Linked DNA regions of Macaca fascicularis. The protein of the gene in region 1 purifies or fractionates together with the protein of each later gene. This does not show direct contact. Links are inferred from orthologs where the notes say so. Each region holds a gene or a part of one and is shown on either strand. Other genes may lie near its edges. The genes, in order: FBXW7, MTOR and KDM6A.

Region 1 (3,745 bases):
AAAAGTGGTCAAAGAAATGAAAGACATTATTCTAAGACAAGAGTTGGAGAAAATGACAGTAGAAATAATGAAAGTCTATAAAATTAAGAAAAGATAAACTGAGGCTTGTCCTGGTATTTCTTGAAATATAAACTCTGTGTCCTGAAAATTTAGGGACACAGGTACAGAATATGTAAATGAATTGTCACATAATACACAGGCTAATAAACTTGCAGAACTCATTACTTTAAAAAAAAACAAACATTGTTAAGTTTGAGAAAGTTTTAAATTAATCTAATCAAGATCCTGAATGGAGAACTTCGAATAGAGAGATAATCCCAGGCTTACATTCATTCCCACAAAGCATCTCTCAGCAGTGGCTTCAGACAGAACGAGCCCACAGTTGTCTAGATGGACCACAATTCTCAGTATAGTACTGCCTATGCCTTCCTACATAAAATCCTGCTCTATGTTTAACCCTTAAGGTCTGTATATGAAATGTTAATTACTTTTATGAACCTTTAACTTGGCACTCTGACAAGATACCTAAAATACAAGTCAAAGGTTTTATAAACTTCAACTTTAAAATAATGGAAAGAAAAAATCATTCCTGACTTAAATATCAAAGGTGTATCCTAAATTGATACAGAAATAAAGATAATTCAAAAGAGCAAAGCCTCAAACCAAATAAAAAAGTCCTCAAACCAAATAAAAAAGTGTTGTCATTTGTTACTCTAAAAAAAAAAAGGGGGGGGTGAAGGGAAAAAAAATCACAACTTTTATAAAATGATTAATGTGATAAATGCTCTTCCCCAAAAAAGTTGTGATTCCTGAGAACTCAAGTTCCTGAATAACTGACATCTGTTACAGTGTCCTACTAACACACATGAATTGGATCCAGGAACTGAGAAGCTTAACTCCTGTACCAATAGGTACTGAAATGAACCTCTCTCAGGACTGGCTTTTGGTTTTGTTTTGTTTAAAAAAAAAAACAAAGGAATTTTACTTTCAGGGGTCCACAGGGTAAGTGGTTCTCACTCGGGAACCTATATGAGAGTACCCCAGAAACAAAACGTAAACCGCACACACCCACAGTACCAGGAAAAGTTTACAGATACAGACGGCCTCTGTGCGCACATATGCTCTGGCTTCCTCAATTTCCCTTTGCCAACTACTGGCCAGAAAGGTGCGAGTATTCACTCTGGAGAAAGAACTCCTCCAAGTAAAACCTGCATACTTGCATTACTCGTACAAAGAGCTAAAAAGTCACAAAATACAGGCCTCTCTAACACCTTTCCCCCTCTGTGAATAAAGCTAGACCCTCTCATTGACAGACTCCCAACACTACTGGAGAACATCAGCAAAACTCCAGGAGGAAGCGCCGGCATCCTCCCACTTTCTCCCCCTAAATCCCCTCTCCCGGGGCCACTCACACTTTTAGAGAAGAGCCGCGGCGCCGAGAAAGTGAGTTGGTTCCCTTCCTCCTTCGGACTGAGGCGGCAGCTGCGGAAGGCTCCGGCGCGGTACTGAGGTTGAAGCGGTGCTCGTGTCGCTAAACCAGGCGGCCACCCGGGTCTCTTCCGTGCTGCCAGGGGAGAGGAGGCGGCGGCCCCGCTTACCTCCTCTTTTCCTCTTCCTGGGTCTTTTCAGGCTGCGGCTTCTGCCCGTCCAGGGCCACTTCTCCCGGGACAGTCAGGTTTGGGAGACTCCGAATTTTGTTTTTGTAAAGTTTCCTCTGGGTGGAGGCTGCAGCCGGCCCCCCGGGTCCCCCCCGGCCCCGCCGCCCTCGGGACTGGGGCGGGGGAGGGGGGCTCTAAGAACTCCTCCCGGAGTCCAGCCAAGGAGCCGGGGGGCCGGCGACTGGCCAAGGGAGAAGACCCCCGGAGGGGGCTGAGGGGAGGGGAAAGGTGAGGAAAGGACGGCGGCGTCGGTCCTGCTCTCTCCGCCGCCCCAGCCGCAGCTTCACATCGGGGTCCCCGCCCCCCCGGCCGGGGGGTGGTTGCCGAGCTTGGTTGGGGCCCCGGTTCATACACTCCGGGGCAAGATGCTACGGCCCCGGGCGGGTGGCCGAGGCGGCGGCGAGGCGAGGGACCCGGCCGGCTCCGCTCGGCGCCGCCCCCGCTCCCGGCTCCCGCATGTGTCGCTGCGGCTGGGACCCCCCTCCCTACACCTTGGGGGTCTCTCGCCCCAGGCCCCCCGGGACGAGGCAGAAGCTCCGGCGCCTCCTCAGCGTTCTCTCACCACGGAGCAGCTACCCAGTCCCGGCCGGTGGTAGCCGCCTCCCTGCCCCCCAAGCCGCCGGCTCCGGCTCAGGCTCGGGCTCCGGCTCCGGCTCCGGCTCCGGCGTGTGCAGCAGCCGCCGCTGCCGGCCGGGAAGGTGAGGGGGGGAGAGGAGTGCGGCCGCGGCTCTCGCTGGCCCAGGTGAGAGCGAAGGTCTCGGCGGCCAGTGCAGGGGGGCTGGGTCTCTCGGATACGCCTTCGCTCTCACTCTCAGCGGCGGCAGCAGCGACAGCGCCCGGAGCTCAGCTCGCTGTCTGCCTCGCTCTGTGCGGGGCTCTCGCCTCACTCCAGAGAGAGGGGCGGGAGGAGAGCGGCGCCTGCCGATGACGCAAGTCACCTAGCAACCACTCTCTTCCCCCTCCCTCTTCTTTCCGCTCTGAGGCTTCCTCCGCTGGCCTCTTTTACCCTTCCAGCCACCCCGCCCTGGGCGCCTCTGGCGCCCTCTGATGACGCTCCAAGGGAAGAGGAAGTGGGGATCGGCGAGCGGGTGGGTGCGCCTCGGGCCGCGGGACTCGCAGCCGCCGCCGCCGCTGCCGCCTCTACGGCCGCGTCAGAACTGAAGAGAGGAAGGGGAGGAGCCGAGTCGAGCCTAAGCTGCCGCCCGATCTTACCCCTGACCCGAGGGCGGCCTGGAGAGCTTGCTCTGTAGCGGTTTCCTTCGGGGCAGGTGGGGACTGCTCCTTTGGGAGGAAAGAGGAGGCCCAGGCCGCGCCTTCAGACAGCTGCACGCACCACCCGAAGATGAGGCATTTGGCCCCAGACCCTTGAAAAGCCGGACTGATCGAGGAGTTCCCGCACAGCCTGACCCGCTGCACCTGCTCCAGGGAGAGAGCGCCCCAACCTTCCCGTGGCATGGGGTGAGACCCGGCGTTGGATAACGTGTGGTCGGGACGAGCAAATGTTTGATGAATGAATGAATGAATGAATGCCTCTCTCACGTGGCACTCACGAAGCTCAGAGGATATGGTGGAAGTGCAAGTGCTTTGTAAACTACAGTGCATTGTACAAATGAGTTGTAATAAATTCCTTCCCTCCTCCTAGCCGTGAAAGGAAACAGGGGTGCGGCTTGAGTACAGTCACAACCTGAGTCTTTAGTGGACAAGGAGACGAAATGCCGGGCAGAGGAAGGAACCCATCCTCGTGCAGATTGTTAGGATGGCGGGAAGGGAGGATTGGAAGGGAGCCATCCTCTGGGAGATTGTTGAAGGATTTTTAACTGTCAGGGGAAGAATTTAATAGTGCCTCACTTTTACGAATGGTTCTTTCTTATGGCTTGGGGCTTTCGAGAACTTCTGATCTTGGTTCATCAGTGTACGTTGTCATCAAGAAATGTTAGCCTGTGTTTCAGTTCTGACTCAAAGGTTATTTTCTTTCTAAAATAAATGTTATTACTATTATGCAGCTTTTCCTACAGATGTTATCCTGGAAAGGAAAGTCAAGTAAAAACTCATGAAGTTTAAAGTGTAGTTCTCTAGGAAAAGAAATT
Region 2 (3,745 bases), on another chromosome or scaffold:
GTGATAAATTTACTTATGGCCCTGGTCATCCAACACAGATCTCCCCCAAGCCCTTGTCAGGCAGGGGATTCTAAAAAGGTTGAGAGATCTTATTGAGGAACATTTAGAAAGCCTAGATTCATTAAACAATGACTGATGTTTAAAAGAGGCAGTGTGGTAGGGAGGGTCAAATTGCGGGCTATGGGAGCTAGCCTACTTGGGTTTGAATCCTTGGGTTAGATACCTTGAGCAGTTTTGGAGGCCGAGTCAGGAGGACCACCTGAGGTCAGGAGTTCGAAACCAGCCTGGCCAACATGGTGAAATCCCATCTCTACTAAAAATACAAAACTTAGCTGGGCGTAGTGGCATGTGCCACCCGGGAGGCTGAGGCAGGAGAATCACTTGAACCTGGGACGGGAGGTTGCCCTGAGCCAAGATCCTGCCACTCCACTGTCTCAAACAAAAACAAACGAAAACAAAAACAAGGTTATATACCTTGAGAAAGACACTAAAAATGTTTCTTCAACTACAATAGGAAGATAATAGTACCTAGTTCATGGGTTGATGTGAGGACTAAATGAGTTAATACATGTCAAAAAGTATTTAAAACAGTGCAGGGCATATACTGAGTTCTTAATAATTGTTAGCTATTATTATTACTACTACTACTATGTACACGGCACAGTGCCAGGTAACAAATGTGGGGAGGTAGGGAAAGAATCAAAAATGACTAAGACTGCCCCTTTGCTCAAGTTCAGTCTAAAAAGAGAGATTATTATTCCACAGCAGCATTGTCTAATAGAAATATAGGCCAGGCACAGTGCCTCACGCCTGTAATCCCAGCACTTCGGGAGGCCAAGGCAGGCAGATCACCTGAGGTCAGGAGTTTGAGACCAGCCTGGGGAATATGGTGAAACTCCATCTCTACCAAAAATACAAAATTAGCCAGGCATGGCAGTGCGTGCCTGTAATCCCAGCTACTTGGGAGGTTGAGGCAGGAGAATCACTTGAACCCAGGAGGCGGAGGTTGCAGTGAGCCAAGATTGCGCCATTGCACTGCAGCCTGGGCGACAAGAGCAAAACTCCATCCCAATTGAAAAAAAAAAAAAAAAAAGGAAATACAGTGATCCACAAATGTAATTTTAAAGCTGCTGGTAGCCATATTTTAAAAGGTGAAAAGAAACAGGTGAAATTAATTACTTAAACTAATATATCCAAAATATCATTTCAACATGTTATCAATATTTTAAAAATTGATATAGTGTCCATTCTTTTTTTGTAGCGAGTCTTCAAAATCTAATGTGCATTTTACACTTACGACAATGTCAATCTGGACTAGTCACTTTTATTTATTTTTTGAGACAGAGTCTTGCTCTCCGTCACCCAGGCTGGAGTGCAGTGGCGTGATCTTGGCTCACTGCAACCTCCACCTCCTGGGTTCAAATGATTCTCCTGCTTCAGCTTCCCAAGTAGCTGGGACTACATATGTGCAGCACCACACCTGGCTAATTTTTTTTTGTATTTTTAGTAGAGATGGGGTTTCATCATGTTGGCTAGGCTGGTCTCAAATTCCTGACCTCAGGTGATCCACCCGCCTTGGCCTCCCAAAGTGCTGGGATTACAGGTGTGAGCCACCTGAACTAGTCACATTTCAAGTGTTCTACAGCCACATGTGGCTGGTGGTTCTTGTACTGAACAATGCAGTTCTACAGGGGACTAGCACTTCAAATGTAAGCTAAAAGAAACCAATTAGTTTCTGAGATCATTCCTTCATTCCTCAATTATGCCCACACTGCTATGGGTGGAACATATACCTATCCTAAGTATGTTCAGCTTATGCTACAAAACCAATTTCTCAAAATTCTTATTTTTGAACCAATTTGTAAGGCACAGAGGAAAAACAGGGAATAATTGGTTTTGAAAAGCTTTCAAATACTCCAGTGCCAAGAAGAAGACTGCAGAAAGAAATGTCATCCTTTAGGGGAGAAGAAACTTAAGAATCCCTACTAAGAAAACTACTCCAGTTTGTGTGTATGTGTGTGTGTATGAAAGGGGGGAAGGAGGCTAGCAAGGAAAGGCTCAGGAAAGAACCAGTGTAACTTCATACGGTCTGAGGCCCACAGGCCATCTGCTCCAGGCTGAATTCAATTAAACTTAGGATATCTGAAGTCAAACATCCTAAGGGTCTTGATAGGGCTTAAGTAAGTTAAAATTGGATGGGAGAAACAGGGATGGGGCTGGGGGAGAAGGCGAGAGGATGTACCCCAACGATGTAACCGAGCTCAGTTTCGGTGACTGGGTCTCTGAGAAGTGTCCACGGTGGAGGATAAGGGGCTGACACGGACGCTGGTGTTCCCTGGGGCAGAGATACAAAATTTTTGTACGTGGCTCAGAAAAAAGGGTGGCTGTAACGGGCAAAAGACCCAAAGGGCAGTACCAGAGCTGATGGACCGGCCTTCGGGGGACGTACCGCGGGCCGAAGGGTGCAGGGGTCTCTTGGGGGTCCCGGGGAGGTGGGCGTTGCCTCGAGGGGTGGGACTCAAGGGCTCAGACGATGCCCAGGTCGTGGGGCCGGCAGTGTGGGGACCCCACGTCCCAGACGGGCGGCTTCCCCTGCCCCCCCACGGGCAGGTTGGCCGTAGGTCTGGACATTACGCCGCCTCAGAGGGGTCGTTCCAGGCCCTAGACTCACCGTGCGGCTTCGGCCAAGGCCTCAGCTGCCGCCGCCAGCACCGCTACCGCCGCCTCAGGCCCCCTGCCCCACCGCCCGCCTTCCCCGCTGTCCTCTAAACCGGGAGCGAGGGAAGGAGGGTTCCTAGCCCTGAGGACCAATCGACACGTACAGGAAGAAGATGGACTGAAAAACAGGCCAATAGTAATGAAGAAGAAGTGAAGCTTCAGGACCCGGCTTCTCCAGGGGGCGGGGACTATTCAAATAGACAAACCACGCGGCCAGTGACAGCTGAAAACAGGCTTGGGTCCACTCGGGAGAACCAATCGGTCGTGAGTTGACCTCAGTCACTTCCACTCATACATCCGGTGCGGCGCTGCTAGGATTCCCCTCTGCATCCGGGCTGTGAACTCAGGGAGTCCGCTGTCTGGGTACCTCCGGATCGCACCAAGAGCGGCTAGCAGAGGTTCGCGACCCCTCCCGGTGTAATTCTGAGAGGAGAGTGTGAGCAATGCTGGCGCCCAGGAATTACTGCATCAGAAGACGTTTCGGGCTAGCGCTCTTTATGGATCCTATGATTTCTCTTTTGTTACATTTAATAAGCATTTGAAAATGTTTTTAATTAGATTTTCTCACTTTCCCAAAATTATCCAATTCAGGATCATTCCAGAGAAACCATAGCCAAGTTTTAACCAAAAGAGCTACTCATAAATAAAAAGTTTCAAAGAAACATTATATTTTTTTAATCGTTTCAAAAATCAATAGCTGGCCCGGCGCGGTGGCTCACGCCCGTAATCCCAGCACTTTGGGAGGCCGAGGCGGGCGGATCACTTAAGGTCAGGAGGAGTCGAGACCAGCCTGGCCAACATGGTGAAACTCTCCCGCGTCTCTACTAAAAATACAAAAATTAGGTGGGCATTGTGGCGCACGCCTGTAATCCCAGGTACTCGGGAGGCTGAGGCACGAGAATCGCCTGAACCCGGGAAGCAAAGGTTGTAGTGAGCTGAGATCGTGCCACTGCACTCCAGCCTGGGCGACTGAGAAATCTCCGTCTCAATGAATACATACATGCATGCATGCATGCATACATACATA
Region 3 (3,745 bases), on another chromosome or scaffold:
ATTAATTTTTTCCTATCCCTGTTATGACATACAGCTTAGTAAATAAATTTGCCTTTTGAGAAGAGTAGTCGAAAGGCCTGTTTTCTTTTTTTTTTTCCACTTATACTAAAGATTAAAAGCCAGACTACAGCCTTTCCCCTGCACCTGAGAGACAGAACAAAGTGTTACTGTTGTCTAGGGGTTACAAACCTGCAGGTTTTGGGGGATAGAAAGGCTTTCCTGGGCCACCAGCTGTGATGAGGATTTAATTATGTCTTCTCTCAGGTCTGTCCACAAGCAGTCCCTACTTTTGTAAGAAGGCTCCACTGAAATCACGGCAATAGAACCCAACATTCTGCAGATCCCGCTTAACAATTTCTCATTGCTTTTTCTTGTAAGACTGTAATGAACTACTGATAAGACACAGGGTAAACACAGCACGAAAATCTGGCCCCAAAGTGCCGCCAACAGACAGACCTTTGGCGGTGGGGAGCCACGGTCGGCAAGCCAGGCCCCGCGGGCGACTCTTCATTCCCTCCGGCCTGGGGCGTATGGGCGGGGGTCAGGGGAGCCTTTCCCCCTTCACTTTCGGCGCGGGTGAGGTGGTCGGGGCTGCCAGCGTAGGTCTGGCCTAGGGCGGCACCCGGACCGCGGGGCACCGGGCCGGCAGCCGCTCCCCAAGCGCACTCCTCGCGGAGGCCATTATTTCCAGCAGTGCCAAAGTCTGAGCCTTCTTCGGAGGGCAGAGGTAGAGGGCCGTGTACCGCCTCCCGGCTACGCGACCTGTACCAGGCCCTGTGGGGTCCCGGGACCCCTGGAGCGCGCGCGGGACGGCCGGAGCCGCGGTCTGGGCACATCCCAGAGCTCCCAGGCAGGCAAAGGCCGTCCTTGGCATCTTCGCCCGCCGCTCGCGCCCGCCGCGGGCGCTGCCGGACCTCGCCCTTCCCCACCACTCCCCTCCCCCTCCAAAGCCTGCCGTGGTTCCCGAGGTGACACGGCCCGGACCCTCCATTCTCTGCCCCAGTGTATTTAACCAGCACAACCTAACAGGAAGCTCCCTCTCGGTGACAACCCTTCCCCCGACAGACGCGCCCAGCAGCCAACCACCGGCCAGAATTGGCCTGCGTCCCGCTCCCCTCTCGGTGGCGGCCTCGGTGGGCGGGGCTCGGGCAGCTAGCAAGTTAAGTGGAGCCACGGCTGACGTGAGTCAACAAAGGTCACGTGAGTCGTGCGGGCCGCGCCGATTGGTGGCGCCAGTCGGGCGGGGAGGGGGGGTCACGGCGGCGGCGTGGGGTTCGCTGTGTGACACAATTACAACAACTTTGTGCTGGTGCCGGGGAAGTTTGTGTCTCCAACGAATCCCCCCAGTGCTCCCCAGCCCTGCGCGCTCCGGCCGTTCCCGCCGTCCCCGCCCGTGGCTGCCCCTTGCCCAACCCCGCGATGTGACCCTACAGCCGAAAGCCGCCGCTGCCGACCCGGGGGCTTCGCAGCCCCTGCCGCCGCCGCCTTCACCGCCGCCGCGTTGGGATTTTTCGTCGCCGCCGCCCGCGGCGGAGGAGGAGGCGGCGATAAAGTTGGTGTGCTGGTCCCGCGCGCAGATTGGGGGCGTCATTGCGGGCCCCGGTCCGAGGGGGGGTGTCGGCGTTGGAGTTGTGAATTCGCTGCGTTTCCATGAAATCCTGCGGAGTGTCGCTCGCTACCGCCGCCGCTGCCGCCGCCGCTTTCGGTGATGAGGAAAAGAAAATGGCGGCGGGAAAAGCGAGCGGCGAGAGCGAGGAGGCGTCCCCCAGCCTGACAGCCGAGGAGAGGGAGGCGCTCGGCGGACTGGACAGGTACGGGCCGCCGTCACTCGCCCGGTCGGCTCCGGACGGGCAGTAGCCGCTCTCCCGGGAGGCCCGAGCGCGGCTTGTCTCTGGCGGCGGCGGGGCGGGCACCTCGGTTTGGCGCTCTTCGCGCCGCCTCCGCCGGGGCCTCGGGCTCGGGCAGGGACGGGTCGGTGGCGTTCCCGGAGCGTTAACGAGTAGCCTGTGTCTCTCCCCACAGCCGCCTCTTCGGGTTCGTGAGGTTTCATGAAGATGGCGCCAGGACGAAGGCCCTACTGGGCAAGGTAAGGCAGCTGCGAGTCGGAGCGCGGACACCGTCTCCCCGGCCGGCGCCGCGCTCGCCCCGGGCCCCGCGGCCGGGTCTGCGCTCATTGTGGCCGCGGACGATGGTCGAGGGGCTTCCGGAAAACTATTTCCTGCCTCTGCTCTCCCCCCACCCACGGGTACCCAGCTTGCTCCCTTGCTAAATTGCTCTTTTCCTCTTGTAGCTGGAGGAACAGAGACGGGATCGCTTTGGGGCCGGGCTCAACTGGGTCGACAAAACTGCCTGCTATTTTACAGCTTTTTGGGGATAGGCCGATGATCTTCGACGTGCATGTTTAGAGTCAAGGGATCGTGAATGTGTTCAGATTTCCCCCAATTCCGGACTTCACTTGCCTCTCACGGGTTTAAAGAAATTCTTTTCCTTCAAGCAGGCTGTTCGTGATGCCTACTGCTAACCAAATGTTTTAGGCTTTCTTGTGTCCCCGCTCCCAGAAGGGGGAAGTTTCACGGAGTTTAGGTCGGTGAAGAGTTTGCATTGGGCTGTTGACATGTATCTCGATCGCAATGTGTGTTACCTGAAGTTAGGTGACTTGTTTACTTTTTGGGTCTTTTTGGCATAGAAATACCGTAGTTATTTGTAAATGTGTTCTCTTCCTGGAGCCTCATTTCCTGCGTGTCTGACAGGGGAGACTGGGGAGGAATCGGGGTGTAGTCTCTGTTTATTTGTGTGGAAAGTTGTTGGCACTGTCATTTAGTTAAGTAATGGCTGCTCCTATCGGCCCAAGATGGCGGGACAGGGTGGGAGGAGAAAGTGAAGGGGGGGGGGTTTGGGGGAGGGAGTAGAGGTAAACATGGAAATAAATAGTAGCCGTGAATAAGCCTTTCCTTCGGAGTGTGTAGCTCAGTGGTGTTTAAAAAAAAATTACCCAAGATTATTTGCATATAGAATTCTTGTACCTTTCACAAGCTTGGAAGCAGCATGCATAAGCCTGGTAAATGCTTATCAACCTGTAGCACATTTAGTTACCCATCCTTAAGCTATTGAACAAAGGCTGGAGTCTCAGTCTCTAGGCATCAATTTATATTTCCTGACCAAAATCTGATTGCAATGATATTTGAATACTTTCTTCGTAATTGGGACCGTGAAAGTTGGAGTGTGTGCTATGGGTGTTGCATCCGTTAGACATTTTCTTTTCTAGCTGAAATCATAGCTTTGCATTTGACACCTAGCTTTATTGTTACAGTTGAGACGGAAGTTTGAAGTAAGTCCAACATTTTATTCTTAAGTTGATTTTTTTGTTGTTCTGAATTTTTGTCTGTAGCTTGGTTTAGCAGAGTCATCAATTCTTTTTTATCTGTAATTACAAATTTGTTTTTATTTCCAAGTAATTATAAGGAGTTTTATTGCATATAATGATCAGAAAACTAAATGGAAATAATGCTTTTCAGTAAGCCCGGCCCCTTTGACCGATACAGAAAACTTGAATTAAACTTTGACTACATAGGTATTAATTGGCTTCATTGCAATTATTGTTGTAAAAATGAACAGTGACTAGCTCTGGAAAGATTTAAGCGTCAGTAATTGTTGGTCTCCTGCCTTAAAAGTTTTTTTTCCCAATTTGAGTATTTAAAGTATTTTATTTAAAAATATTTGACTGCTGTCAAAGTTGTCATTACAA

The links.
Region 2: the proteins of FBXW7 (region 1) and MTOR purify together in Homo sapiens (affinity purification with western blotting; 9 studies listed by BioGRID and IntAct, with this or other methods). This does not show direct contact. The link is inferred for Macaca fascicularis from reciprocal best matches to the Homo sapiens genes FBXW7 and MTOR.
Region 3: the proteins of FBXW7 (region 1) and KDM6A purify together in Homo sapiens (affinity purification with mass spectrometry; 3 studies listed by BioGRID and IntAct, with this or other methods). This does not show direct contact. The link is inferred for Macaca fascicularis from reciprocal best matches to the Homo sapiens genes FBXW7 and KDM6A.

Annotation. Positions count from the first base shown.
Region 1 is NC_088379.1:157,446,735-157,450,479, forward strand, and holds the start of FBXW7 (F-box/WD repeat-containing protein 7), read right to left. Parts: upstream 2,572-3,745; 5' UTR 1,413-2,571; intron 1-1,412. UniProt on the Homo sapiens protein: Substrate recognition component of a SCF (SKP1-CUL1-F-box protein) E3 ubiquitin-protein ligase complex which mediates the ubiquitination and subsequent proteasomal degradation of target proteins.
Region 2 is NC_088375.1:223,546,979-223,550,723, reverse strand, and holds the start of MTOR (serine/threonine-protein kinase mTOR), read right to left. Parts: upstream 2,768-3,745; 5' UTR 2,672-2,767; intron 2,336-2,671; 5' UTR 2,243-2,335; intron 1-2,242. UniProt on the Homo sapiens protein: Serine/threonine protein kinase which is a central regulator of cellular metabolism, growth and survival in response to hormones, growth factors, nutrients, energy and stress signals.
Region 3 is NC_088395.1:44,930,893-44,934,637, forward strand, and holds the start of KDM6A (lysine-specific demethylase 6A), read left to right. Parts: upstream 1-1,303; 5' UTR 1,304-1,650; coding exon 1,651-1,811; intron 1,812-2,022; coding exon 2,023-2,086; intron 2,087-3,745. UniProt on the Homo sapiens protein: Histone demethylase that specifically demethylates 'Lys-27' of histone H3, thereby playing a central role in histone code. Demethylates trimethylated and dimethylated but not monomethylated H3 'Lys-27'.